Linked DNA regions of Elephas maximus indicus. The protein of the gene in region 1 interacts with the protein of each later gene in a biochemical or structural test. Links are inferred from orthologs where the notes say so. Each region holds a gene or a part of one and is shown on either strand. Other genes may lie near its edges. The genes, in order: histone H2A type 2-C, USP16, UBE2B and MYSM1.

Region 1 (5,517 bases):
TAATTGGTAAAAAAAAAAAACAGAGGGTGGAGGTATGCATGAACTCTGCCTCATGGGAATCAGCCTTGGGCTGTTGATCTTGCTTCTCCTTTCCTCTTGTGAAGTTAGAGGAGGCCAGACACCTCTGCCACACCACTTTTACACCAACCAATGCACCTCAAATGCAGCCACCACTCATCTGTCGATGGACCAGTTGTGCATGGGTCTCCATGAGTTGGGGGTCAACTCCACAGCAGCTAACAACGTCATGCTGGAGAGCAACAATGATGAAAGAACTCCTCAAATCCTTTTGTGTTCCAGAAAATGGTTTACATACTGCAAAGAACAGACCAAAAGAGCATTAGTAATCTCCTCTGTTTAAATATCTCCTTGACTCCACTCGCCCAGACTTTACAAAGCTCCAGGTGCCTAACTAGAGAATCGCTTATTTCTCTCTGCCTGCCCTAAGGTCTCCTAAGGACACTAAGAACCCCTTAGCTTTTTGAAATCTGAAGTCTTCTGCTTCATCAGAGTAGAACTCAGACGTGGGTCTTTCACTCCCCATTGTAATAGTCTCCCACTATTTTTTTTTTATTGAAGTATTCCTCCCCCACTTCCAGTAGTCCTTCCTCTTCTTTTTTACAATTGTTTTGCAACTGTTTGAACATTGTTTGGTGCACTTTTTTCTTTGACAATAGCTAAGTGCTCAAAAAGTGGTAGAAATTATTATTATAACAATTATTATCATCATTGTTATTAACCCCAATACAAGCAAATGGAGAGCAAGTCGTTTGAGCAAATGAAAAAAATGATCAGAGGCTTTTAGGATTAATCTCACCATCACTGATTGATTACCTTCTCGCTCAATTAAAATATCAACCCCCCCTTCCTCTCTGTAACTTCCTTCTTAGTGAACATCATGCCCAGGAAGAGTCCCTCCACCAGCAACTAAGATTCTCTCACATTAGTGTAAGGATACCAGCTAGAAAACTCCACCACTGCAGGGACAAGCTAACTTGAGCTATGGCTTCTGGGATGTAGAACCAGGGTCCTCCAATCCCACCCTCATGGCTTTTGGACCAGTAAAAACCAAACTCATAGCGACCCTATAGGACAGAGTAGAACCGTCCCATAGAGTTTCCAAGGAGCACCTGGTGGATTTGAACTACTGACCTTTTGGTTAGCAGCCCAGTAAATACACCCTTAATTACCAATCCACTCTCCTCTCGGTTAATATCCTGAGTGCATTCCAAAGAGAACAAAGTAGGTGGCATTTCATTTTAATTTTAAATCATAGATTTTTCCCAATAAAAATCCAGGGAAGGGTCTAGGTTTTCCGAGAATGACCCTACTTTCTTAAATCCATTAAGCACTAAACTAGGAGCTTATTTACCAGAGTTTCTGAGGAGAGGCATCTCTATGCCTCAGTTCCTCATCTGTAAAATGAGCAATTAATAGTAGTGTCTACTTCATAAGGCAGGAGCCATGGTGGCAAAATGCTTAAGCACGTAGCACTTGCTCAGTGGTTTGAATCCACTAGCAGCTCTGTGAGAGAAAAGACCTGGCAATCTGCTACTGTAAAGATTACACCCTGGGAAACCCTATGGGACAGTTCTACTCTGTCCTATAGGGTTGCTATGAGTCGGAATCAACTTAACGGCACACAAAAACAAAACTTACAAGGTTCCTGTGAGGATAAGATGAGTCAACATGTGTAAAAGGCTTAGAACACTGCTTGGTACATAATAAGTGCTCTGTAGATGTTATGATCTACTGAAGTTAAACTTTCTTAGGGATTTTATTTCCCCATCTTGTCTATAATGTTTCTTCTTTGTGGTCACATATTTTTCAGTAATTAAGTGTTAAGAAGGAGTCCTTCAATGGTGCAAATGATTAAGCACTCAGTTAATCAAAAGGTTTGAACCCACCCAGAGGCACCTTGGAGTAAAGTCCCAGTGATCTGCTTCCAGAAAAACACAGTACGAAAACCCTATGGAGCACAATTCTGCTCTGAAACACATGGGGTCACCATGAGTTGGGATGAGTCAGAATGGACTCCACAGCAACTTTTTTTTTTTTTAAGCATTAAGAGGAGAGTTTTAAGAGGCTATTTTAACCCTAGAGGAGTTTAGCTGATGGTTTTATTCATCCTTCAGATCAGAGGCACCTAGTTTTCTCACAGACCCAGTGTTGACTGTATCTGTTAATTTATTGAGGAAGTACACTGCAGATAAAAGAAAACAAGGAAGCTTTTAAATTAACTGGTACCTTTATTAAGAACAATAACATCTATACACATTTAAAAACACACATGTAGGAGACATAAGATTTATTGTCTGTGATAATGTCTGGAATTAATTGGGATTCCTGAAGTCCTTGCAACGAACTCCAGAACTCCTTAGTCAAAAGCAGAGTTGAAAAATCATCCGTTTTCGTCAATAAAAATCAAGGTTTGGAAAAGAGTCAACATCTTTTAATTTCACAAAATAAATCTAAAATGCAATTGTCTTCGCATCTAAGGATACAAAGGTGGACAATGTTAGCTGCATGACTGTGGACCAATCATTTAACTTCTCTCAACCTGATCTGTGAAAAGGATATTGAGCCCCCAGTTCTACCTGCCTCAGAGGGTCGGTCTCTTGAAAAACAAATGAGAACAAGAAAATCAGGATGTGAAGTAGGCAGAAAAGAAGGTGGGGAAAGGATAATTTTGCTTTCCAGCGACCAACGCTCTGAATTTAATGAAAATACTAGAGTTAATATAACCTGGGAAGCATAAAGGAAGAACCTACCATAGCCACAGCTCCTTTGGGGCAGAAAGAATCTTAACACAGGCTCAACCCAGCTGCGGCACTGAGGAACAATTTTGAGGAGGGAACTCCGAAAACATTTCCATTCTCATCGTGCCTCCAGATCCGTCTAACGAAAATAACCCACACCCATCCAGCCAAGGAAGCGATTAAGAGGTGGAATAGGAAAGAAATTCAACAAATACTTATCCAACGAGCATTTGAGTCACCACGTGCCAGGCACTAATTGGCGCCGAAGATATAGTGGAGAGCCAAGGTCAGCAAAGTCTGTCTTCGAGGGTTTGCAAACTGGTTGAGGAAAAAAAAACATAAACGAGAAAACAAACGAACCAATTTCAGACGGCTGCTACGAGGAAGGTAAAACCGGCAAGAACAAGAGGAATGCGGATTCCTGAATGGTTGATCCGGGTCTCTGCGAGATGACTTTTGAAGCAGACCTAAAAGATCACTATCTGGGTTGAAGTGACCTGGGGACGCAGCAAAGCGAACATTAAATCCAAAAACGACCCACAAATCAAGGAAATAATTGGGATTTCAAAGCCCTGAAGAAAGCGGCGCAAACCCGAGTCAGCCAATTCCAGGACGGCAGGATTTTGAATATTCAATCGGTCCAATCACGGGACAGCTGGGAAGCAGACCCGCCGGCTCCGCCCTCAGTGCGCGGAGCCGCTGGCATCCGCAAACAGCCCCATTGCAGGGCAGGATCAGCGTCCATTCGCGCAAGCCGCTCCCAAGCTCTCAGGGGAATTCTTCAGTCGTACAGGGCTGTCGCGGGCCCGGGCTTGTGTCCCGAGCTCATTTTTAAGAGGACCAACCAGAATCAGTTCGTTTCGAACACAGATAAAGCATATTCTGGAACAAAGCCGCCATAAATTCCCAATACCCTTATTTACAACCGACTTCTAGAAAAAAACTAAGCGCAGCGAGGAGCAAGAATGTATCTATGTTGAAAAACAAAGCCAGTCACGTGCCGGGCCCGCGGGTCACAAAAATTTAAAAAGCTACGTGTGCCATCGTCTCTGATCTCTACTTTGTGAGAAGAATGTGAAAAGACAAGTGAATAAAGCTCTTTTCTTGTGACTAGGTGGGTGGCTCTGAAAAGAGCCTTTGGAGCAAAGAGGCCGGCGAACAGTGTGTGCGCCGGGTCCCGCAAAGGGACTCACTTGGAGCTGGTGTACTTGGTGACGGCCTTGGTGCCCTCGGACACAGCGTGCTTGGCCAGCTCGCCGGGCAGCAGCAGGCGCACGGCCGTCTGGATCTCCCGGGACGTGATGGTCGAGCGTTTGTTGTAATGCGCCAGGCGGGACGCTTCCCCGGCGATGCGCTCGAAGATGTCGTTGACGAAGGAGTTCATGATACCCATGGCCTTGGACGAAATGCCCGTGTCGGGGTGGACCTGCTTCAGCACCTTGTACACGTAGATGGAGTAACTCTCCTTGCGGCTCCGCTTGCGCTTCTTGCCATCTTTCTTCTGGGCCTTGGTGACGGCTTTCTTAGAGCCCTTCTTAGGAGCAGGAGCGGATTTGGCCGGCTCAGGCATTGTAAAAGACAACACTGTCCAACAGAGAACAGAAGTTGAGAATGGGCGGGCCTGATCATTTTATAACCATCTTATGCAAATTAGGGCTCCAAAAGTATTTAGTTTCTATTGGTCAAAGTAGTGGGCCTTGCTTTTCCAGTAATAGCTACGTAAGAAGAACTCTTGATTTTATTGGCCGTTTGTGGAGCGATTTAGGGCCAATGAAAATCTCGCTCCTAACTCCACCCCTAAGAAAGCTTATAAAAGCTTTCCTAGGGCTGTTTTCTTAATCTTGATTTTGCACATTTCCCGTTTGGCAATGTCAGGACGCGGAAAACAAGGAGGTAAAGCTCGTGCTAAGGCCAAATCGCGCTCCTCCCGTGCAGGCCTGCAGTTCCCGGTGGGCCGAGTTCACCGTCTGCTCCGTAAAGGCAACTATGCCGAGCGGGTGGGGGCCGGTGCGCCCGTCTACATGGCGGCGGTGCTCGAGTACCTGACAGCGGAGATCCTAGAGCTGGCGGGCAACGCGGCCCGGGACAACAAGAAGACGCGCATCATCCCCCGTCACCTCCAGCTGGCTATTCGTAACGACGAGGAGCTAAACAAGCTGTTGGGCAAAGTCACCATCGCCCAAGGCGGTGTTTTGCCCAACATCCAGGCCGTTCTATTACCAAAGAAAACCGAAAGTCACAAAACCAAAAGCAAGTAGATCGCGACAAAGTAAGCCAAAGAACAAAGGCTCTTTTTAGAGCCACCCAAGTTTTCAAAGAAAGAGCTAATGCGCTATTTCGTGATCAGCCCTTCATTTGACACTTTGGTGGCTCTTAAAAGAGCCTTTGGGATGACGAGGGATGGTATAAAGGTTAATTATTTATTCTTGCCAGGTTTGTGACTCTCCGTTTTCTTGGGTAACAAGACAGCCTGGATATTTGGCAAGACGCCGCCCTGAGCAATGGTGACACCTCCGAGTAACTTGTTGAGCTCTTCGTCATTTCTCACGGCCAGTTGCAAATGGCGAGGAATGATGCGCGTCTTCTTGTTGTCGCGGGCCGCGTTCCCCGCCAACTCCAGGATTTCCGCCGTCAGATACTCGAGCACGGCCGCCAAGTACACAGGCGCGCCTGCACCCACGCGCTCGGCATAGTTGCCTTTGCGGAGCAGGCGGTGTACTCGGCCCACCGGGAACTGAAGGCCAGCGCGTGACGAGCG
Region 2 (7,931 bases), on another chromosome or scaffold:
ATTCCAGGATCTCCTGGTGGCCCGGGAGTTATGAGCTCGGCTGCTAACCAAAAGGTCAGCAGTTTGAATGTACCAGCCCCTCCCTGGAAACCCTGATGGGGGGTAGGACACAGGGTCGCTAGGAGTCGGCAGCAACTTGAAGGCAATGAGTTTTATTGGCTAGCAGAGAACTGATCACAACTGCATTCTCAACTATTTACATTGTTATATTACTGCCAAAACCACTTTGGGAGGCTATGACAAACCCCGAGCTGCACATCAAATCTTCGCTTCTTTAATTAACAATTCATAATTAGAAAATACGGAAAGTGCTGAAAGTACAGACAAATCTACCTAACTTTTACATGATAATAATGGTTTTGAAAAGTTGTATTTTAAATGTACTAAAAAAAAAATTTATGAGTGTCAAAATCACTTAAATGACTAACTCCATAACAGTTGTTTTACTTGGAAGGTTTATTAAAATTCTGATTTCATATGTGGAGAGTGTGCCCTGGGACCTGTTTTGAAACACTGCCCAGTTAATTCTGGTATGTAGCTGTCATCACTGCTCTGGCTTAGAGTCGTACATGTATGTATTCCTCTTTTTAGTTCTTCACAGGTTAGTGTAATCGAAGGTAACGTAATTCAAAAAGACTTGTATAAAAAATAAGTGCCACATCAAGTAACTGGTAAGAAAATCCTTCCAAGGATAATCTAAAATGTTTACAAAATAAATGAATAAACTAACAATGAAGGAACGCAAAGTATCTGTACATACATTAAACCAATGTACATTTTATGTACTATTACTCATCCTAAAAATCACATTTCATGTAATTTATTTCACCTAGAATAAATCATATATTTTACAGAAAAAAAAAATAGCTCCAACTCCCTCTATTCTATGCTGCATGCCAGTACCAAATTCATCTTCCAATAATGTCATTTTCATCACATCACTGTCTTGATTGTAAGCATTTAACAGTTTCTCTAACCAAACTCCTAGGTTTTGCACTCATGGTCCTTAATAGTTTGGCCCCAGCACTCTGGTAATCCTGATTCTCATTACTCCTCAACAAAGAACCACTAAGTTTTTGGGTTTTGTTTGTTTTTAATGTTTGTGTGTGTGTGTATGATAAAATTACTCAGCATATATAACAAAACATTTTCCATTTCAATATAAAGTTCTAATTATATAGTGCTTTGGGTCTTCAGGAGCCCTGGTGGCACAGTGGTTAAGTGCTATCGCTGCTAACCAAAAGGTCAAATCCAACAGCCACTCTTTGGAAAGCCTAGGGGGAAGTTCTACTCTGTTCTCTAAGGTTGCTATGAGTTGGAATCAGCTTGATGGCAACGGGTTTGGTTTGGTTTTTTTTTTTTGAGTCTTCAAAGCCCTTTAACAAACATCTCATTTGACTTTCACAGCAACTCTTCAAACTAGGCACTTCTCTAAATGAGGAAACTCAGAAATAAAACAATGAAAGATGACAAGGCAACAGAGATGGAACCAAAACCCAGATCTTTAGGTTCCAAGGCTCTTTCCATTACAATTTAGCCAGTCTCTTCAGTATCTTCCACTCCAAAACCCTTTGCCCTCACCTCTATACCTTTGATTTCTAGCAGGAATGTTGTCTCTATCTGTCCAAATCTTACCAATCCTCTAAGCTCTCCATCTCAACAAAACCTGACCCAGCTTTTCTACTCTGAATGAACTCCACACTGAGCTTCCGCAGCATTTCTGCTGTTATTCATCTTGTTCCCAATGAGATACCAGAGCAAACTGCTTCTTAAATCTTTAGTCTGGCCCTATGTTACCTCTCTACCTGAAATCTAAAGTTCTAGAAAAAAGAAAGCTTTTAGGCATTTCTTCTGAATTGCCTACAGCATCTAGTAGAGTGTTAGTGCACAGAAGGCTCTCAAGAAATACTTCTTGTGTTGCAATGGAAAAAGAGAATGGTACCTGAGCCATAAAGGATGATTATAAGGTGCAAAGATGGATACATAAGAATGAAGCAAACAAGTTCTGGTGAAAAAGAAAAGGGTGGAGAGTGAAGAGGTCTGCAGCACTGAAGACAGCACTAGGAAATCTGGTTTGAGGACTGCAGAAGCCCAGACGCCAAAGGAAAACTTGGAAGACGAACTGTAATTGCTGCAGGCAGAAGACAGTAGGGGGTCATCATTTCAACGCTGTGGAAACAACTTCAGTAAAATTTCGACAACTATAAAAGGCGTTTAATGAATCTGAGAAGAGAGTATTGGGAATGCCATTAAAAAAATCTATTAAAATTTCAGGAGTGTCTTCGGAAAAGAATTAGATGCTTGGCCAAGTTACTCTTTCCAGGACCCACGTCACACGAAATTTAAATCAAAGCTAGTCTTCCCCTGCCTACTCCGTTCTATTAAAAATGCAAGTGTGTGGGAAACATCGTCAGCAGGTCTTAAACGTGGCTTTTAAGTTTTGGGTAGTTGGATCCTCCCCTGGGAGCATTCAGTCGGGTAGGTGACGGACCTCGGCTATCCTATCAATCAGAACGTGGACGCAGCTGCAAACCCAGCCGCAGCCATTGGGTGCTCCCAGCAGCGCGCCACCCGCCCACTCGTGCGGCACCTGCCCTTCCTTTCCAACTGCTCTGCACCCACAGGAGAACCTCGGGGTCCACGGGGTCAAAAGGGGCGCCAGCACCAGCGACTGACGGGTCAGCTCCTGGAACTGACAGGACATACAGCCAATAAGAACACGGGACCGGGCCGGGGCCGGGTAATGGGTTTAAGGAGAACAGGCCGTCGAAAACAGAACGAGGTTGGGGCAGAAAATTCGGGTCCCTCAGAGCGCAGGCAGTCATGTGAGCAGTGACTGCGAGTCAGCGGGGTCAGAACTCACCCACGGCGACAGCGCCCATAACTGCATCCCCTAGTGGCCCTGTGGGCTGGGCACCCAGCTCCGTCCTCCTCCCGGAGACGATTAGTGAGCGACAGTATGCCCGAAGCCCAGTGACCCCGAGAAAGCAACAACTTCCGGGACACGGCATTATGGGAAGAGGCTTCCGCCCAGGGTTCCGCTCACTGAAACTTGTGAATGGCGCCTGCGCACACATGCGCCGGATGTCCGGGGGCCTCAACTCCTGAGAGAGTCCCTACTCCAGTACGACTGTGGGGTTATGTAAGTGTGTGGGGCTTGTGGGTGCCTACTTACAGGGTCGGTGTGAGTCGGAATCGACTCAAGGCAGTGGGTTTGGTTTGGGTTTGGTAGTGAGGGCTAGAGGTTCGGGACCTCCTACTTGAATATAAACAAATGACTGCCGGTGTCTTCCAAGTTACCTTTCTTAAACTCGCTACATGTGAAGTCTCCATCAGAGGGGAACGGAACATTGAAATTTCACGCAGTTTCCCTAATTCTAACCTATACTTCTAAAATTGAGTACGTAAATTGTCTTGAACTAACTTGCTGTAATACATCAGAATAAAAAGGTAAAGCAGTGAAGGAGATTTAAAACAACTCAAAAAGATCAGAGAACTAAGGAAGATAAAATTGTCAAACCTGTAGTGTTTATTCCTTCAGATATGTAAGTGCCCACTTGTCCCAAGCCCCGTGCTAAGTGAGTTAAACATAGGCTTCACCCTCCTAGAATTTGTTAATAGAGGAGACGCAAAATTCAGCAAGAAAAAAAAAAATGCAAGTGCCAATAGAAAAATAAGCAAGGAATGTAAACAAGTAATTGACCAAAAAAGAATAGTTGGTCATAATATACATGAAAAAATACCGTTGCTAGTAATCAGTACTAGATGGACAAGACAAAAACGTTTAGTTACATTTGGTCGTAAATTGTTCTCCTGTCCTTTACTGCTACTGAGATATAATTTTTTAAGATTTGTTTGCACATCTTCAGCCACACTGGCATTTTTTGTTGTTGTTTCCTGTTCAAAAACACACCCTTAAGGCATTGTACCACCTGTTTCCCCTCCTGGAATGATGTTCCCCTTGATCTATCATGGTTAGTATTTTCACACCTGAAAAGTCACTTCCCTGCAGAGGTATTTGCTGAGTGACCTATATAAAATGGCCATCAGATCATTCACATCACCTTGTTTTATTTCTTTGACAAGCAATTACTACTATCAGGTATTTTTCTTTCATACTTGCCTGTATACTTGCCCCTCCACCTCACCACAAATACACACAAATGTGCAAATGTAAGCTTCTTGAGAGCTGCTACATCTTTGTCTTATTCATGGCTATGTCTCCAATACCTAGAAGTGCCTACAACATAATAAGCACTTTAAAAATTTTTGAAGAAAATGGTCATTGCACATGAAATGTTTGTACAAAAAGGTTCATAGCAGCTTTACTCATAATAGCCATGTACAGAAAACAAGGTGAAAAAACCTAGATTTCTACACACACACACACACACACAAAAGGAAAAACTGTGGTGTATTCTTCATTCAATATGATGCTATTAAGCAATAAAAAGTAACTACTGAGCAGAACATGGATGAATCTTTAAAATATACTGAGTGAAAGAAGCCTTCAAAAAAACGGTACCGTATGATTCCATTCATATGAATTTCTACAATAGGTAAAACTAATTATGGTGGGAAAAAGTCAGAGTAATTGTTTTCTCTTGGGGAGTTGGGCGAGGGGACCGACTGGAGAGGGGCACGAAGGAACTTCCCGAGGTTATGGTAATGTCCTTTATCTTCACAGTGTTTGAGTTACACAGGTGTAACTCAGCAGACTTAGCAAATGTATGCTTAAGGTGTGCATTTCACCATTTGCAATTTTTACCTCAGTCTTAGTCTGGAAGCTCCACTGAAACCTGTTCACCATGCGTGATCCTGCTGGTATTTGAAATACCTGTGGCATAGCTCCCAGCATCACAGCAACACGCAAGCCACCACAGTATGACATACTGACAGACTAAGCTTACAGATTAAGACTAGGAAAAAGGGCCAGGCTATCTACTTCTGAAAAAATGGCCAGTGAAAATCATATGAATAGCAGTGGAATATTGTCTGACATAGTGCTGAAAGGTGAGCCCTTCAGGTTGGAAGGCACTCAAAATATGACTTGGGAAGAGGTACAGCCTGAAAGTAGATTCAACCTTAATGACGTGGATGGAGTAAAGTTTTTTGGAACTTCATTTGCTGATGTGGCATGATTCAAAATGAGAAGAAATAGTTGCAAACATCTGTTAGTATTCAGAGCATAGAATGTACGAACCAAGTATGAATTTAGGAAAATTGAAAGTTGTCAAAAATGAAATGGAATGATTGATGATCATATCCTAGGCATAAGTAAACTGAAATAGACTGGTATTGGCCATTTTGAATTGGACAATGGTATGGTCTACTATGGAAACCCTGGTGGCGTAGTGGTAAGTACTACAGCTGCTAACCAAGAGGTCAGTAGTTCGAATTCTCCAGGCACTCCTTGGAAACTCTACGGGGCAGTTCTACTCTGTCCTATAGGGTTGCTATGAGTCAGAATCGACTCAACAGCAGTGGGTTTGGTTTTCTTGGTTTATGGTCTTATCATGCCGGAATGGCAAACTGAAGAGGAACAGCATCACATTCATTGATAAAAAGAGCATTTCGAGGTCTATCCTGAAGTACAGAGCTCTCAGTGATAGGATAATACCCATATGCCTACAAGGAAGACCAGTTAATATGCCTGTTATTCAAATTTACACACCAACCGCTAACGCCAAAGATGAAATTGAAAACTTTTACCAACTTCTGCAGTCTGAAATTGACCAAACATGCAATCCAGATGCCCTGATAATTTTCAGTGATTGGAATGTGAAAGTTAGAAAATAGAACGATTGGTAGTTGGAAAATAAGGCCTTGGTGATAGAAACAATGCTGGTGATAGCATGATTGAATTTTGCAAGACCAAAAACTTATTCATTGTAAATGCCTTTTCTCAACAATATAAATCGTGACTATATACATGGATCTTACCAGATGGAAAACACAGGAATCAAATCAACTACATCTGTTCAAAGAGACAATGGAAAACCTCAATGTCATCAATCAGAACAAGGCCAAGGGGCCAACTGTGGAGCTAGACCATCACTTGCTCATATGCAAGTTGAAGTTGAAACAAATTAAAGCAAGTCAATGAGAACCAAACTAAGGCCTTGAGTATATTACAACTGAGATCATCTCAAAAGTAGATTTGATGCAATGAACACTAATGATTGAAGACCAGACGAGTTGTGGAATGACATCATACATGAAGAAAGTAAAAGGTCATTAAAAAGGAAAGAAGGAAAAGGCCAAAATGGATGTCAGAAGAGACTCTGACACTTGGTCTTGAACATCGAGTAGCTAAAGTGAATGCAAGAAACGATCATATAAAAGATGTGAACAGATTTCAAAGGGCAGCTTGAGAAGACAAAGTATTATAATGACATGTGCAAAGGCCTGGAGTTAGAAAACCACGCTTGACATTTCTCAAGCTGGAAAGAACTGAAGAAAACATTCAAGCCTCCAGTTGCAACATGGAAAGATTCTACTGGGAAAATATTAAATGATGCAGGAAGCATCAAAAGAAGATGGAAGGAATACACAGAATCATTGTACCAAAAAGAATTGGACGACATTCAACTATTTCAGGAGGTAGAATATGATCAAGAACTGATGGTATTGAAGGAAGAAGTCCAAGCTGCACTGAAGGCATTGGTGAAAAACAAAGCTCCAGGAATTGACAGAATACCAACTGAGATGTTTTAACAAACGGATGCAGTGCTGGAGGTGCTCACGAGTCTGTCAAGAAATTTGGAAGACACCTACCTGGCCAACTGACTGGAAGAGATCCATAGTTGTGCACATTCCAAAGGTGATATAACAGAATGCGGTGATTATCGAACAATATCACTAATATCACATGCAAGTAAAATTTTGCTGAAGATAATGAAAAAACGGTGGCAGCAGTACATCAGCAGGGAACTGCCACAAATTCAAGCCAGATTCAGAAGAAGGCATGCAACAAGGGATATCATTGCTGATGTCAGACGGATCTTGGCTAAAAGCAGAGAATACCAGAAAGATGCTTACCTGTGTTTTATTGACTATGCAAAGACATTCACCAATGTGGATCATAACAAATTATGGATAATATTGCGAGGAATGGGAATTACAGAAGACTTAATTGCGCTCATGAGGAACCTGTACATAGACCAAGAGGCAGTTGTTCAAACAGAACAAGGGGATACTTCATGGTTTAAAGTCAGGGAAGGTGTGCATCAGGGTTGTATCTTTTCAACATACTTGTCCAATCTGTATGCTGAGCAAATAATCAGAGAAGCTGGACTATATGCAGCATTAGAATTGGATGAAGACTTGGTAACAACCTGTGATATGCAGATGATACAACCTTGCTTGCTGAAAGTGAAGAGGACTTGAAGCACTTAACTGATGAAGATCAAAGACTACGGCCTTCAGTATGGCTTACATCTGAAAGTGAAGAGGACTTGAAGCACTTAACTGATGAAGATCAAAGACTACGGCCTTCAGTATGGCTTACATCTCATCATAAAGAAAACAAAAATCCTCACAAGTGGACCAGTAAGCAACATCATGATAAACAGAGAAAAGATGGAAGTTGTCAAGAATTTAATTTTACTCAGATCCACTGTCAACACCCATTGAAGCGGCAGTTGAGAAATCAGATGATGTATCACATTGGCCAAATCTGCAGCAAAAGACCTCTTCAAAGTATTAAAAAGCAAAGATGTCACCTTGAGGACTAAGGTGCACCTGACCCAAGCCATGATATTTCAATCGCCTAATATGCATGTGAAAGCTGGGCAATGAATAAGGAAGACCAAAGAAGAATTGATGCCTTCAGATTACAGTGTTGGAGAAGGATATTGCATATACCCTGGACTACCAGAAGAAAGAGTAAGTCTGTCATAGAGGAAGTACAGCCAGAGCATCCCCTGGAA
Region 3 (7,730 bases), on another chromosome or scaffold:
GTGCAATAGAGTTAAAGAAAGAACTAGAGATAGTCTCTGGGAAAAGGTCTTCTAATTACATTTTCACTTATGGTGCACAGAGTTCTCTTGAGGGCAGGGACTATCTCTTACATCTTTATAGTCCCAGAATCTAGCACAATGCCTTGCACAAAGCAGTCATTTTTATTCAATATTCATTATACTAGAATATTTCTGAGTAATTATTTCACAACACTTGGCATAGCTTTTGTTAAGTTATACACAAGCACATGCATCTTTTATCACTATAAAATTACAAAATGTTAGATAATAAACGGAGTATCACACTTGTTTTTCAGTTAATGTCTTAGCACATGTGTTAACTGAAATATTCTTGTAAACAATTTTTTTTATTTTCTAACAATTTCTCTTATGATTTATAGAACAATTAAGCAAAAGAAGCAAACCTTTAGAAACTTTATTTCTCTCGTTGCGATTTTGTTGACAGATTTTTCTGGTTTCTCATAAAATATCTTAATGGCCACTATCTGCCCAGTAACCTTATGTTTACACTTCATGACTGTTCCATAACTTCCCTCTCCCACTTTTCCAAGGGTTTCATACATCTCCATTTTAAAGTCTGGCTTCTACTTCCTCAGAGAAATAAAGGAAAAAAAAATGTTAAACGTTTATAGTTTTATTTATTCAAGCTGGATAATGCATTTCCAAAATAAACCCATACTTTCAAATACAGAAACATAGAAAAAATCACGAATCTTTTCCACAGAATCTGTCTTTGAGCACTCCGCCAGCCCGCCAATGAAGTGTTCCTATGGGGCTCCTGCCCTTACCAGAACTTATGGCTCGGCTGCCTCGGTTATTCCCATTAACACTGAGGTTCCCTTACTACGTGTCACCCATCTATGAAGTGTGTAGTCCCAACACTTCCTGTCATTCCTTCGTCAAATATTAGGTCCCCGCACCACTGCAGCTCCCACACATCAGGCCCGGGACTGAGGAAAGCATAAGTCCCGCCCGCTCCTCAAATCCGACGTCTAAGGTCCTGGACCGGAGTCGCGCCCCTCACCCCGCTGTCGAGTTAGTCCGGGCAGCCACCGCCGCCTCAGCCCATTCTGCAGTCCTGTCAGCCTAGCTCCGCGCAGTCCCAGCCGGGCAACGGGACACGGACCCGCCTCTGCCAGCCAACCCCGCCAGCTCGCAGCCGCCCGCTACCATGGCAACGCAGCGACAACACTCTGCCCCTAGTGCGCAAGACCGGATTATCGGCCGGGTCCGACCCGGAAGGAAAGTGAGAAAAAGCGGAAAGGGCTCCTGGAGCGCGCTAAAATGGAAGCTTGCTTGGGGATCCGTTGGGGTCTTGGTGGGTTTGGCTTCGCTCAAACTCGGGGCCTCCTCACAAGGTTAGTTTTGAGCGGGATGGGAAGCATCCACATTTTGACAGCAGCATGAGTGTGTGGCATGCGTCGCGGACGCCACCAGGCTGGAGAACACCCGCCGCTAAAAGAATGGCTGTTGTCATTAAGCTGTGATAGTTTGTAAAGCGAGACTTCCAAGAAAGTCTTGTGTGGTTTTTGTTTTTTAAGTTACTTAGTACAATACTATTCCATGGACCTGAGTTTGACCTCAGGTGTTGACATTCATCCTTAAACGGGTATATCATCAAGAATATTTCGTGAACACCTCTCTTTAAAATTTCTTCCAACTCCTAGTAATCCTTTTTAAAAAAGTCCCTCACTACATGTTAAAATAGCCCCTTGGGGAAAAGACCCTGAAGAAAGTAATTCAAAGGATTTTACCACACACAGGGAGTGACATGCAATAGCACAGAGAAAAAGGGGCCAGTGTTTAATTGCTTAAGGACTGGACATAGGGTTCAACTGTAGTGACAGCTTAAAAATGAATAACTAGAGTAATGCCGAACAAGTACCTAGGAAGTACTGCCTTTCTCGGGGTTTTAGTTTCTTCTGTAAAATGAGATAAGTGTATAAGGTCAAATCCCACCATGCTTCCTCTAAATAAATTATTATCTAATATTGTTATCTAATAAATCTAGCCCAGTGCTTCCCACCCCAACATGGACATTAAAATCACACCTGGATAGCTTTTAAGAAGTCCTCACTCCCAGAAATTCTGATTCACTTGGGATGGGGTAAAGGAGAAAACCCTGGTGGTGCAGTGGTTAGGTGCTATGGCTGCTAACCAAAGAGACCCTAGTTCAAATCCACCAGGCGCTCCTTGGAAACTCTATGGGGCAGTTCTACTCTGTCCTATAGGGTCGCTATGAGTCGGAATCGACTCGACGGCACTGGGTTTGGGGTAAAGGAATTGGTATTTTAAAAGTTCCTCCAAGTGTTTCTAATATGCTGCTACGGTTTAGAGCTTCTGAGTGGGGAGAGTGAGGAGGAATGATCCTGGTTTTCCTTTTCATTAGCAAAATATTCAGAGTCGTCTTTCCTTTTGAAAAGTTACTCAACAATGTTTAAAAATCCTTGTAATCTATGAGTGTCAAAGTTAATCTTTGCCCAGACTTGCTGTAAGCATATTTATTTAACATTTATTGTGGGTTAAATATTTGTAAAGAACAGAACATGAATCAGACTGGTCTCTGCCCTCAGTGAGCTCACAATCTAGAGCCACAGAATTGTTCAAAACAAAAAAACCAAAACCATTGCCGTCGAGTCAATTCCATACTGCCGACCTTTTTGGTTAGCAGCTGTAGCTCTTAACCACTACTCCTGCCAGGGTTTCCACAGAATTGATAAGACTATACAATTTCAGAAACCCTGGCAGCAGTAATGGTTAAGTACTACAGCTGCCAACCAAGAGGTCGGCAGTTCGAAACCACGAGGCACTCCTTGGAAACCCTACAGGGCAGTTCTACTCTGCCCTATATGGTCACTATGAGTTGGAATGACTCGATGGCAATGGGTTTTATACAGTTTTAGCTTGAAATTATTCATTTTACAAATAGGCTGTGGCAGGCTTGGAGACCTGAACAGCCAATGATTCTTCCTTATACATCGCTCTAAGACTATGAAGATCCTTGACAGAATTTGTCAAAAATGTTACTTCATTTTGGAAAACCATGTACAATTAAAATTGCTAGATAAATTACATCACAGGGTTTTTAAAAAGTAACTCTTTAACCTTTTTTCTTTAGCATTTCACTGCGTGGTACCCTATACCGTCTGTTTTACTCCCTAGCTGTGGAGAATATGGTAGGAAGGCAAAAAAAATCAGCTTTTGACTTAGAGAATCACATTTGTGATTGAATAGCAGGACCTATCAAGAGTTAGGCCTAGCTAGCTTGATCACCAAGGCTGTTACTAAAAGCTAACGATAGAATTCAGGATTTGAAAAAAGGGAGGTACCAGTAAAGCTAACCCTTCCTGGTTTCTTGGAAATACAGGCAAGCTGAAGAAAGACTGATACAATGCAAAGAAATTTCCCTGCCTTGAGCTGAAGAATTTGTCAAGTAAATATGAAAAATTGCTGAGAGTCATCCTGAGCAACAAAGACCTGGAGTCAGTTAAAGACTATAGCTGGAGGAAACTCAGTGAAGAGAAAATGGCACAGGATGGACACTTCTTGCTCATTTGGGCCTTGCTTGGCTAGTGTAGAAAACCAGAAATGAGTTCTCTCAGGCTAGATATATAAATAAGTCCCACCCATGTCAGCACATCTCCCGCAGATCTGAATCGTATTTGTAGGTTTCTTTAACAACAGATCACCTGTCGCACCCTCGCAGTTCTTGACAAATACGATTCCCTACCGTAGCCCAACCCATGGATTCTTAACACAAGTCCTCAAATGAGAGAACCATACAGGAAAAACAAAACTTTTAATTCCGTGCTTATTTTAAACAACAACAACAAAAAAGCCGTGGACAATCTGTACACCGTTTTTTAATCTTTGCCCAGAATTTCCAATCCTGAAAACTCCACTGCAAAAGAAAGAGGCTATTTGATGACCTAAGGAAGAATTTCGGGGGATTTTGTTTCGTGTGGGCCTCAGCATTTAATGCTGCGCTTATTAAAAGATCGAGAAAGTCCCTACACTACTACTTTGCCTTAAGAGCCAGACTGATTAACCACTGAAACAACGAGAGGGAATTTTATGTCCAAATTATTTTGGGCTCCATTTTAAAGATTTAGAAAGACAAACCTGCTTCCGGCATGACCTCATCGATAATGTAGTCCCTGTACGTGAGACAGACTGATACAGGTGTACCCCACCCTAATACCCATAAACTTGGGTACCCGCATCATAGAGCTGGCTGAGACTGATTCAGGCGGCGGTCCCACGTGATCCATTCTAATCGCGTCATAGGGACGCGTGGTTCTAGCTACCTCACCCCTCCCCGTCAGGGGTGGATTGTTGACAACGCCGCCGGTGTCACGTGACCTGACGTCATTCCACCTCCTTTCCCTGAAGTCCCTGGACCCGGATGCGTCCGTCTCTCCCCACCCAGCCGAGCCTAAGTCAGTGAAGGGGGGAAACAGGGTGGTGTTTCGGTCACGATGGCTTTTAATCCAATGGGTCTAAGCATAAAGAATACCAACTTGTCGAGGAGTTCAGGAAGCCAAAATGAGAGCGGTCCTTGCTGAGAGGCTCCCGGAACGTGCTCTCCTACATCCCGCCCTCGCTCACCTTGTCCCCCTCCCCTCCCTCTGTGGTACTGGCGGAGGGCGGAGGGATCTGGAGGCGGCGGAGGGAGACGTCATTGCAGGGTTGTTTGTGCAGCGCGGCGGCGGTGACCCACAGTGACTCGGCCGCCGCGCCGGGGGGTGGGGGGGGCTGTGCGGAACTCTTTTCTTTCAGACTGACCGCGGGGCAGCTTGGAGCATGTCTACCCCGGCCCGAAGGAGGCTCATGCGGGATTTCAAGCGGTAAGGGCCTTCACCTTCACCTGGCCGACGGCTCCTTCTCAAAGCTATGGAGCTGCAGGGCGGGGACCTCGGACACGTTCCCCTCACGACCCTAAGGGGACTGGCTGTGGGCCCTAGCGGGATCGACGGGAACCCAGTGGTAGTCTTCGCACCCACTCCCTCTTGCTGTTCCTTAGCGGCGTTAGAAATCTCGATATCCTCCCCCTCTCAATCTTAGCCAAAAAAAGTAAACAAAAAAGGTGGCTGTCGCCGGCCTAAGGTTCCCTGCTGCCCACTTCTGCCAGCTTCCCGACGTCTTGTCCAAGCGCTCAAACCTTATCCTCCCGCCCCTGCACCCTACTGCGCCCTTTCTCTGCCTCCCCAAAGTGAGCTCTGATGCAGAAGCTTGTTCCCTGTCTGCTGAACTCGTCAGCTTTGTTCAACAGCTCCACGTTCTCCTTTGAGGGCCAGAGGTTGGGGTAAAGGTCCCCCTCCCCCCGCCTCGTCATTCCTTTTCTTTCAGCATTGAGGGTGGGGTCTGAAGTGAGAGGCCCGGAGGTTGCTAACCCATCCCGCGAAACCCGACTCTGCCCCCGCCTGCCTGAAAGGACCTTGAGAACTGGCCGGGAGGCCTGGGCCCCGGGCTGCCAGCTCCGGTGCCAGTGCCTTCTGGTGTATAAAGCCCTATCTATAATCTCCAAATCCTTCTGGAAACATGCCTTCTGTCAAACGGGCGCTAACCTGATACTCCCTGGGCCTCTTTTTGTAAAGTAGGGCTTTGTTAGGAGGTGTTACGGTTACTGAGGAGGAAATGATTTTTTCAGTTGTTTACCTCTTACTGAATACCTGGAGGTTGAGAAAAATAAAAATAAGGGGTGAGAGGATTTAGTACCGCAATTCTCTGCACAAGCCACAGTTTTCTGGGGGAGTGTAAAAGGTTAAAGTAACCTCCCAACTTTCCCATTATAAAGCCGTAGTTGAGGCATTTGGAAACTATTGTTTCGGGCTTTGCCCAACTTAGCTGAAATCACTCAGAGCTTCTCTTAGCTGTTCACCTCTGATGAGCGTCAAGCAATGTGTAGTTTCTCTAAGGGTCTTATTCTTCGTGGCTTAATATCCTTGAGGTGGAGTAAAAACCATTTTTATGTGGACTAAAGGGGAAAGTATCATGCCACATATGATAATAATTGATAGATGATAGAGCTTTTATTTAGATGACAGTCTTTAAAAGAATATACTTTGTTTAGTCCAAAAGTCTTTCTAAAGTTTGAAATTTGTAGATTTCAGATTAACTCTTATGATTGGAATTCAAATACTAAAGCTTGCAGAGCCTGTCCGTTGTTCCCCTACTTGCTTACTGTTTTTCTCTGCTTAATTCTGGATTGAACACATGGCCCCCTTGGTAGTTTTCCAGGGGTTATGAGAATTTGTATTGGATCTCCTGGTTTGCCGGGTATGATTTGGTTTTTAGTATAGAGCCCTAAAATAGACCAAACTGAAGCTTCAGATTACTATAAATGCCATCGCTAACTGAAGCAAATGTGATAAAGGTGCTCTCCTTCCTAAAACTGATTTCCTAATTAAAAGAATATGAGCAAAAAATAAATAAGCACTTGCAGTCCTTTAGCATTTACACTTAGGTTGTGTGTGTGTGTTGCACACGTAGCTGTGGTTAGGAGTTTCAATCTTTGTTTAGAGCAGCAGATCCTGTTCTGTAAAAATATTTTTGCACTTGAGTTTGTGTGTTTTGCTTTTGGTTTTTTTTGTTGTTCAGGAGGACAGTCTGTATGCATCAGTTTTTCAAGAGATCATATCTTAACCTTGAAAATACTTGAAAAGGATGAATCCCAAGCCCTTGGGACTTATAGAAAATTTGCAGAGATATTTAATAAGTATATATACCTTTTTTTTTTTAAGTCAGGTATAGTTCATTCCAGCTCAACATAAGCTAAGGAAATTAGTTTGTGTCGCCAAAGTAGATGATACAGAGAACGTCGGTGTTTCGTTTGGCCTCCTTGGAGTCCTTAGTGTTTGATTTTTAAAGTTACTACTATGGATTCCTAGGTTGCAAGAGGACCCACCTGTGGGTGTTAGTGGCGCACCATCTGAAAACAACATCATGCAGTGGAACGCTGTTATATTTGGGTGAGTTGAAAGGTAACAATAGGTGTGGTGATTCTTGAGAAAAGTTAATATGTAACAAATGTCTAGAAAAAAGACTGAGGTGGAATCAGGGACCTGAAGGACTGAAACTGCAAGATAAATTAGAAAAAATTTTTTGGTTAAGAATTTTGGCACTTACATAGAATATATTTGCGCTTTAGCATTACATATTGATTTTATAGTCATTTTGGTTTTACTTAATGAAAAATACCATTTGAAACTAAATTGAATAATAAAGGAGAAAAGATAAATTCTTTTGTACAAAATGTACCAGGTAAGTATTCTGCTCACATTTTATTGCGACTGTAAAAAGGCTTGGAACCAAAAACATTGTGAACTTTCTCTATGGCGAGAATGTAAATGAAAATGTTTCACAGCCCAGTGTAAAATAACTGAATGGATCCATTTGATAAACAGCCTTCTTACAAATGATATGTTTTACATATATGCCTTTTAATTTAAATTTTCCTTAATGCCTTTTTTTTTTGCCCCTGGACTTGATCCTTTTTTTCTTTCATTTTTTTTAAACTAGGGTTTTGGACTAAAATTTGAAATTCAGATTTGTTTTGAAGGAATGCGTTGGTAAAAGAAATTCTCAGTTGCCACAGAATCAGTTACAAGAGTATACGTTAAAAAAAAAAAAAAAGACTAGAAAGAAAAAATTAAAGAAGCAAAACACTGTTTTAAAGTGACCATCCATTACATTCAGACTGTTAACTG
Region 4 (7,085 bases), about 81 Mb from region 1:
AACCACTGTGCCACCAGAGCTCCTTCACAGTAACTTATACCTATGAAATAAGAAGTGAGAATAGGAAGAAGTGAATACATTTTAGAGGATACTTAATACAGAAACAACAGGATCTTAACGGCTGACAAGATGGAGGGAGTATATGCGGCGGGGAGGGGGGAAGAAAAGGAATAAGGTTCAGGTCTATGCCTCGAGTGAATGGGTAGATGCTGGTCCCATTTATTGAACGAGAAACACTGGAGAGGCAGGTTTGGTGTGGCAGTAAAAACTGTAAGTTGAGACTGAGGTACCTGTGGAACACAACTACAGACAGATTTAGAGAGTTGAATAAATAAATCTGAAGCTTAGGAGAGAAATTTGGGTTGGTGACAGATTTGGGAAACACCAGTATATATGAGGTTGAGCTTAAGAAACCGCCATTTTTGTAGTTCAAAAATGGTTGAACATTGGCAAAATTTCATAAGGTTCAACCTAAAAGAAATTGAAGTCTTAAGATGGCATCACCAGGGACTGTGTGGGTAGTGAGCGTAGAAGTCCTATGACAAAAGTCCTTTGGAACAACTTGATTTAAAGGTTGAGCAGAAGAAAAGGAGAATAACAAGGAATGGCAGGAGAAGTAAAACAGAAACCAAAAAAGTTCAACGCCATCTTCTAACTTTGGTACTTATTACTTAAGAAATGCTTAAAAAGTATGTTTTAAGTTAATCTGCATACTTCAGGGGGCGCCAACAAACAAACAAACAAACCCAAACCTGTTGCCAACAAGTTGATTCTGACTCATTGCAACCCTATAGGACAGTCCATAACTGCCACACAGAGTTTCCAAGGAGTGGCTGGTGGATTCGAACTGCTGACCTTTTGGTTAGCAGCTGAGCTCTTAACCACTGCTCCACCGCCACCAGGGCTCCCAGGGGGCACCATTCACACAAAATTCCATTGTGAATAGAGCTCCAACACCATGAAAAAAAAAAAAAATGATGCTCCTTGGAGTTCTGTAAGGCAATGGCTCTGACCAAGGATCAAAAATCTCTGTAAATCTGCTTGTAGGAGACTAAGATGACCACAGCTGCTGCTGGTAGACAGAAAACCCAAGCAGAGTAACAAGAGAAAAAGAATGAGAAGGGGAGCCGAAACGTGTTGCTGTCGAGTTGATTCCGACTCACAGCAACCCTACTGGACAGAGTAGAACTGCCCTATAGGGTTTCCAAAGAGCAGCTGGTGGATTCAAACTGCTGACCTTTGGTTAGCAGCTGAGCTCTTAACCACTGTACTACCAGGGCTCTGAGAAGCGGGGAGGGGGCTTAAACACAATAAAAAAATAAAGAACCTGGGTGGACTTTGGCAGAGCCAATGCTCTTTAATGTTTCCAAGGCCACTCATATCTCTCAGGACTACAGATTAAATATTCCTGCCCACTTATCTTATGAACATGTGAAAAGGAAATTAAATCAATCATGTAAAAGCATTTGGCCAAGTTTTAAACACTACGCAAATGTGAACAACCACTGTTACTACAGGCTCCCTACTCATCTGCATAGCTTTCGGCTGTTTTCCTTAAAGATTCAGGGAGAATGACCATATGAGTTTAATTACCCTTCACATTTTAATAGTGCTTTAGAGTTCACAACTCTGTCCTATAGAGTCGCTATGAGTCGGAATCGACTCGATGGCAGTGGGTTTGGTTTCGGTTTTGGGTAGAGTTCACAAAACACTTTTATGGCCACTATCTTAGCCCCCCCGTGGGCAGGGTTGGTACTTTTTTCCCAATTCACAGAGGCCCTGATATACAGTTGAACCATATAAAATTTCCAGCGTGCCCATCAAAAAGGTCAAAGACTGGCAATTTTACACGGTTCGGCCTAATAAATTAACAAAGTTGTTCACAACATAAACAACATGGCCAGCTGAGTTCAGAACTCAGGTCTTGGATTCCTGGCCACTCTAGGCCTCTTCCTTTACTAAAAGGAGACACTGGAAGAACATTTTTAAAATGGTACATATTGATTTCCTTATTTAAAAAACAGTACTATGGATTTCCTTACTAGGGAAGCAAGAAGCCAAAGGACCAGATCTTCCAAGCTGAGGTTGCTGTTTAAAACCACACTGGGCTGTTCTGCAGCAATCAGTATTTAATTGAGATATCTCGCTGGGTCCTCCCAATACCCAGGGTAGGGATGGTGAAAGAATACGTTTACAGAGCATCTACCATATACCAAAGCACGCAGAATAATTATTTCATTCGGTCCTCACAACAACCTGAAGATGATTCTCGGTTTACACAGGAGGTCTGAGGGTCAGACAGGTTAAGTACCTTGTCCAAGGTTAAGGCAGGGCCAGTAAATGCAGAAGGCAAACCCAGAGCTGTCCAACTCTAAAGCCTGTAAGTCAAGCTGCCTTTCAGTCAGAAGTTTTTCACAACTACCTCCATGTGAAAAAAGGAACCCTGTGGCTAGAAGAGATGAAACGACTCGCTCAAGGTCATCGCGGCTTGCGAAGGCTAGAACAAGGGTCCCCGTGCTCAGGTCCCGTTCTAGACACTGCAGGAACGCCCCTACGGCAAGTACCGGCGGGTGTGGGGCTGCGGAGATAACTGGGAAGGTACTGCGGCGGAAGAGAGAGGAGGGATATAATCGTTAGCGGGTGTGCAACATGCCAGGTGAAGTCGGCGTCGTCACAGCACTTCGGCAAAAAGGTGAAACAGTCATCCCCACTTTAGCGCCGAGTATCCGCCCGCTGGGATCAGGACACGCCAGCGGGCGCGGCGGGCCTAGCGGAGGGTCTCCGATTTCCTATCCCTTAACGCACCCGCGATCTTCCCAGGGCCGTCTCTTTGCACCCGCGCCCCTCTCCGCCCCAACGAGACCCAGTGTCTTCGCCTCACCCTGGCTGTGCTGCTGCCGCCACTACGTCCCCTTCGATGTCCACATCCGCCTCTTCAGCCGCCATGATGCGGCCTGACCCGGTCCGGTCCTCCGGAGAGATCCCGCGAGAGGTGGGGAGCCGGGGCGGGGCCGGATGCGTCAAGGGGAGGAGGTGAAGCCTCGTCCAGCCCCGCCCATGCCGGGGAGGCGGGGCTTCCAGGGGAATGGCCCTGCAGATCTGTTCCTTTCAGTAAACAGCTTTGGGGAGTGGCAGTGGCCCGGACTTTTTAGAGCTTCTGTTCTAGCACAAATTCTTTGATGCCTCATTGCTCTGATTTGTAAAATGGGGATAATAGCAGATGTCTTTCTGGACTGCTGGAGAGGTCCAGTCAGAGGGTGATTTGTGAACTATGAAGGTGGCAACTATGAGGGAGCCTTACCTATTGGTTAAGTTTTATCACTTTTATTTTTTAAATATTTATAGGAAAAGGGTCATTCAACATTTATGGAAAGTGCTGAACGACCTCTGTTTTAAAATCCAACAAACATTTAAAAATATTGCTTTATGAATGCATAATTTATTTTGTAGAGATCTTTACAATTAAAAAATTACTCTTATGACTATGAATTTTTACAATAACTCAGTGAGGCAGGCAGATCTGTTATCATCACTCATGTTTTACAAATGAGAAAACAGAGCTCAGAAAGGTGAAATGACCGTTCCAAGGATGCACAGCTTGTCAAAGTCAGAGCTGAGATCAGAATCCCAGTTTTTCTGACTCTTTACTGGGTGCTCACCCTGCACAAATCATATTGTTAGGAGCTGTGGAAGATAAACACCCTTTCTATTAAAGGAATTTATGGCCTCTCAAGAAATTAAATATTGGTCTTATGCATTCTTCTACCTTAGAATCTATCACTCACGTAATTATAATTGTTGGTTTTCTTGTCAGCCTCCTCATTAGACTCTGAATTTCTTAAGGACAAAATTGTGTTTGTCAGTGCTTACACTACCAACATTCAGCATGGTGTCTGTTACGGATTGAATTGCGTCCCCAGAAATATGTGTCAACTTGGCTAGGCCTTGATTCCCGGTATTGTGTCCACCGTTTTGTCATCTGATGTGATTTTCCTATGTGTTGTAAATCCTACCTCTGTGATGTCAATGAGTCAGGATTAGAGGTGGTTGTGTTAATGAGATAGGACTCAATCTACAAGATTAAGTTTTGTCTTGAGTCAGTCTCTTTTGTGATATAAAAGATAGGAATGAACAGAGAGACGGGGGAACCTCATAGGACTGAGAAAAAGGAGCCAGGAGGGAGCATGTCCTTTGGACCCAGAGTCTGTACTGTGAAACACCTAGACCAGAAGAAGACATGACAAGGACCTTCCCGCAGAACCTACAGAGAGAGAAAGCCTTCCCCTGAAGCTGGTGCGCTGAATTTAAACTTCTAGCCTCCTAGACTGTGAGAGAATAAATTTCTGTTAAGGCCATTCATTTGTGGTATTTCTGTTATAGCAGCACTGATAGCTAAGACAGTGTCTGACACATAGTTGTTGTTAGGTGCTGTCGAGTGGGGCCCTGACTCATAATGACCCTGTGCACAACTGAAGGAAACGCTGCCTGGTCCTGCGCTATCCCATTATCCATTGTGATCAGACTGTTGTGATCTATAGGGCTTTCATTGGCTCACTTTTGGGAGTACGTTGCCAGGCTTTTCTTCTTAGTGCAGTTTAGTCTGGATGCTCTGCTGAAACCTGTTTAGCATCATAGTAGCATGCAAGCTTCCATTGCCAGAGGAGTGATGGCTGTGCATGAGGTGTGCTGGCTAGGAATTGAACCCGGGTCTCCTTCCTGAATGGAGAGAATTCTACCACTGAGCCATCACTGCCCCTTGACACGTAGATAGTAGGTGCTCGATAAATATTGAAGGGATAATGAATAAGTCAATCAGTTAATGAAATGAGCTCACATCCCACACTATTCTCTGTTCCTTTTCACCTTTGTTTGTGCTTGGGACATAAGATGCCCTATGAATGTAAGGAGCGAGAGCCAGTGCTCAGAAACTGAATACTGCTAAGGCCTCATTCTCAGGCCACCCTGGGGATGCTGTTCCTGTTGTCAAAGGGCTTGTCCAATGACCAGTCCCAATGGTTAGCACCATACCTGGCACAGAGCAGACACTCTAAAATGTTTTTTGAGTGTATATGGTTTTCCTTGATCTTTACGTAGCAGGCAGGAATTGGGACCCTGGCAGGACTGCCTGGATGCTTGTCATATCAGATGAGAATGTTACCTCTTAGAGCATAAATTGGAGCCCCTGGGTGCTGCAAACAGTTAACACACTCAGCTGCTAAGTGGAAGTTTGAAGTTGTGAGTCCACTGAGAGATGCTTCAGAAGAAAGCCCTAGTGATCTACTGCTGAGAAATCAGCCATTGAAAAACCTGTAGCTCATCGTTCTATTCTGACATACGTGGGGTTGCCATGAGTCAGAATTGACTCAACAGCAACTGGTTTTTTGGAGCATAACACAGAATATCATATGCAAAATGTCCCTGCAACACAGCACTAAAGGCTTCCCTGGTCAATTGCCAGCCTTCAGTAGGCATTAAAATTTACATAGAAGGAAGGAAATGTCTTCACAGAATCCACTCATGCCCCAAGTCATCTATAGGTCTCCCTCAACAAAGAGATTAGTTTGAAGCCTCCCCACACATACCCTAGTCCATGCTCCTGGTTAGTTGGCTTTATGTGAAGCAGTCTTCTAAGGGCCTAGGCCCAACCCCATCTGCCAGGATATATAACCTATAACCTCCCAAGCAGGTGAACGCCAGAAGTTTAGCCTATTATTTAAAACCCTCCATTCTAGAGGCTTGTAACCATGGGACTTGTTTAAAAATCCATTTTCCCACCAAGTAGTTTGAAAGCAGAATTCAGGATTCATGTTTCACAGATATCTGTTGCACTCCTACCATGCTTGGGAATGGGGAAATGGCATTGAACAAGACCAACTCAGTCTCTGCCCTCATAAAGTCAATCAAAAATGCAGTTTCAGGACAATGCAATAAGCTGTCTGAGGGAGGACTTACAGGCTACTGTGGGATCACGGAGGAGTGGCTCTTAGTCTAGAATAAACTGTCTCCTGTATCATACTTTGGAGGAGGATATCGATCAGTGAAAATTTAACAGTTTTTTTTTTTTAATAGACTCTGTAGGTGTCCTTTTCTAACAGTTGGTCTTTCCTGATGACATGTCCAAAGTAAGTGTCATGGAATGAATTGTGTCCCCCCAAAATATACATATCAATTTGGCTAGCCTATGATTCCCAGTATTGTGTGATTGTCCACAATTTTGTCATCTGATGTGATTTTCCTATATGTTGTAAATCCTATCTCTATGGCGTTAATGAAACGGAATTAGTGGCAGTTATGTTAATACAAGGTTGGGTTGTGTCTTGAGCCAATCTCTTTTGAGATATAAAAGAGAGAAGCGAGCAGAGAGACATGGGGAATTCATACCACCAAGAAAGCAGTGCTGCAAGCAGAACACATCCTTTGGACCTGAGGTTCCTGCGTGGAGAAGCTCCTAGAACAAGGCAAGACTGATGACAAGGACCTTTCTCCTGAATGAACAGAGAGAGAAAGACTTGCCCTGGAGCTGGTGCCCTGAATTTGGACTTCTAGCCTTCTAGACTGTGAGAGAATAAATTTCTCTTTGTTAAAGCCATCCACTTGTGGTTATTTCTGTTATAGCAGCACTAGATAACTAAGACAGTAAGCAAACCAAAGTCTGACCATCCTTGCTTCTGTGGAGCAATCTGGTTGTATTTCTTCTAAGACTGATTTGTTCATTCTTCTAGCAATTCACAATATGTTCAATATTCTTCACCAACACCATAGTTTGAAAGCATCAATTCTTCTTCTGTCTTCTATATAGTGTTTGTGTGTATTTACTTTTCACCATACATATATTTATCATAGTATATATATTTATTGCAGTATAAATACCACAGCTAAAATGTGCCTGAGTGGTGTAAACAGTTTGTGCTCGACTGCTAACCCAAAGGTTGGCAGTTCAAATCCACCCAGCAGTACCATGGAAGAAAAGGCCTAGTGATCTGCTTCCGTTAAGATTACAGCCAAGAAAACCCTATTGAGAAGTTCTACTCTGTAACACATGGGGTTGCTATACGTTGGAACCAACTTAATAGTAATTGGCTTAC

What was found.
Region 2: of the proteins of histone H2A type 2-C (region 1) and USP16, one has a biochemical effect on the other in vitro, tested with the Homo sapiens proteins (2 studies listed by BioGRID). The link is inferred for Elephas maximus indicus from reciprocal best matches to the Homo sapiens genes H2AC20 and USP16.
Region 3: of the proteins of histone H2A type 2-C (region 1) and UBE2B, one has a biochemical effect on the other in vitro, tested with the Homo sapiens proteins (2 studies listed by BioGRID, with this or other methods). The link is inferred for Elephas maximus indicus from reciprocal best matches to the Homo sapiens genes H2AC20 and UBE2B.
Region 4: of the proteins of histone H2A type 2-C (region 1) and MYSM1, one has a biochemical effect on the other in vitro, tested with the Homo sapiens proteins (2 studies listed by BioGRID). The link is inferred for Elephas maximus indicus from reciprocal best matches to the Homo sapiens genes H2AC20 and MYSM1.

What each region holds. Positions count from the first base shown.
Region 1 is NC_064821.1:184,028,423-184,033,939, forward strand, and holds histone H2A type 2-C, read left to right. Parts: upstream 1-4,590; 5' UTR 4,591-4,627; coding exon 4,628-5,017; downstream 5,018-5,517. Other genes in the region: histone H2B type 2-E, read right to left, coding at 3,949-4,329; histone H2A type 2-B, read right to left, coding at 5,176-5,517. UniProt on the Homo sapiens protein: Core component of nucleosome. Nucleosomes wrap and compact DNA into chromatin, limiting DNA accessibility to the cellular machineries which require DNA as a template.
Region 2 is NC_064836.1:32,781,213-32,789,143, forward strand, and holds the start of USP16 (ubiquitin carboxyl-terminal hydrolase 16), read right to left. Parts: upstream 3,018-7,931; 5' UTR 2,864-3,017; intron 1-2,863. Other genes in the region: RWDD2B (RWD domain-containing protein 2B), read left to right, coding at 3,059-3,142. UniProt on the Homo sapiens protein: Specifically deubiquitinates 'Lys-120' of histone H2A (H2AK119Ub), a specific tag for epigenetic transcriptional repression, thereby acting as a coactivator.
Region 3 is NC_064820.1:146,804,837-146,812,566, forward strand, and holds the start of UBE2B (ubiquitin-conjugating enzyme E2 B), read left to right. Parts: upstream 1-4,713; 5' UTR 4,714-4,824; coding exon 4,825-4,868; intron 4,869-6,911; coding exon 6,912-6,992; intron 6,993-7,730. Other genes in the region: CDKL3 (cyclin-dependent kinase-like 3), read right to left, coding at 426-605, 4,144-4,164. UniProt on the Homo sapiens protein: E2 ubiquitin-conjugating enzyme that accepts ubiquitin from the ubiquitin-activating enzyme E1 and transfers it to a E3 ubiquitin-protein ligase. In vitro catalyzes 'Lys-11'-, as well as 'Lys-48'- and 'Lys-63'-linked polyubiquitination.
Region 4 is NC_064821.1:103,010,998-103,018,082, forward strand, and holds the start of MYSM1 (deubiquitinase MYSM1), read right to left. Parts: upstream 3,005-7,085; 5' UTR 2,947-3,004; coding exon 2,882-2,946; intron 1-2,881. UniProt on the Homo sapiens protein: Metalloprotease with deubiquitinase activity that plays important regulator roles in hematopoietic stem cell function, blood cell production and immune response.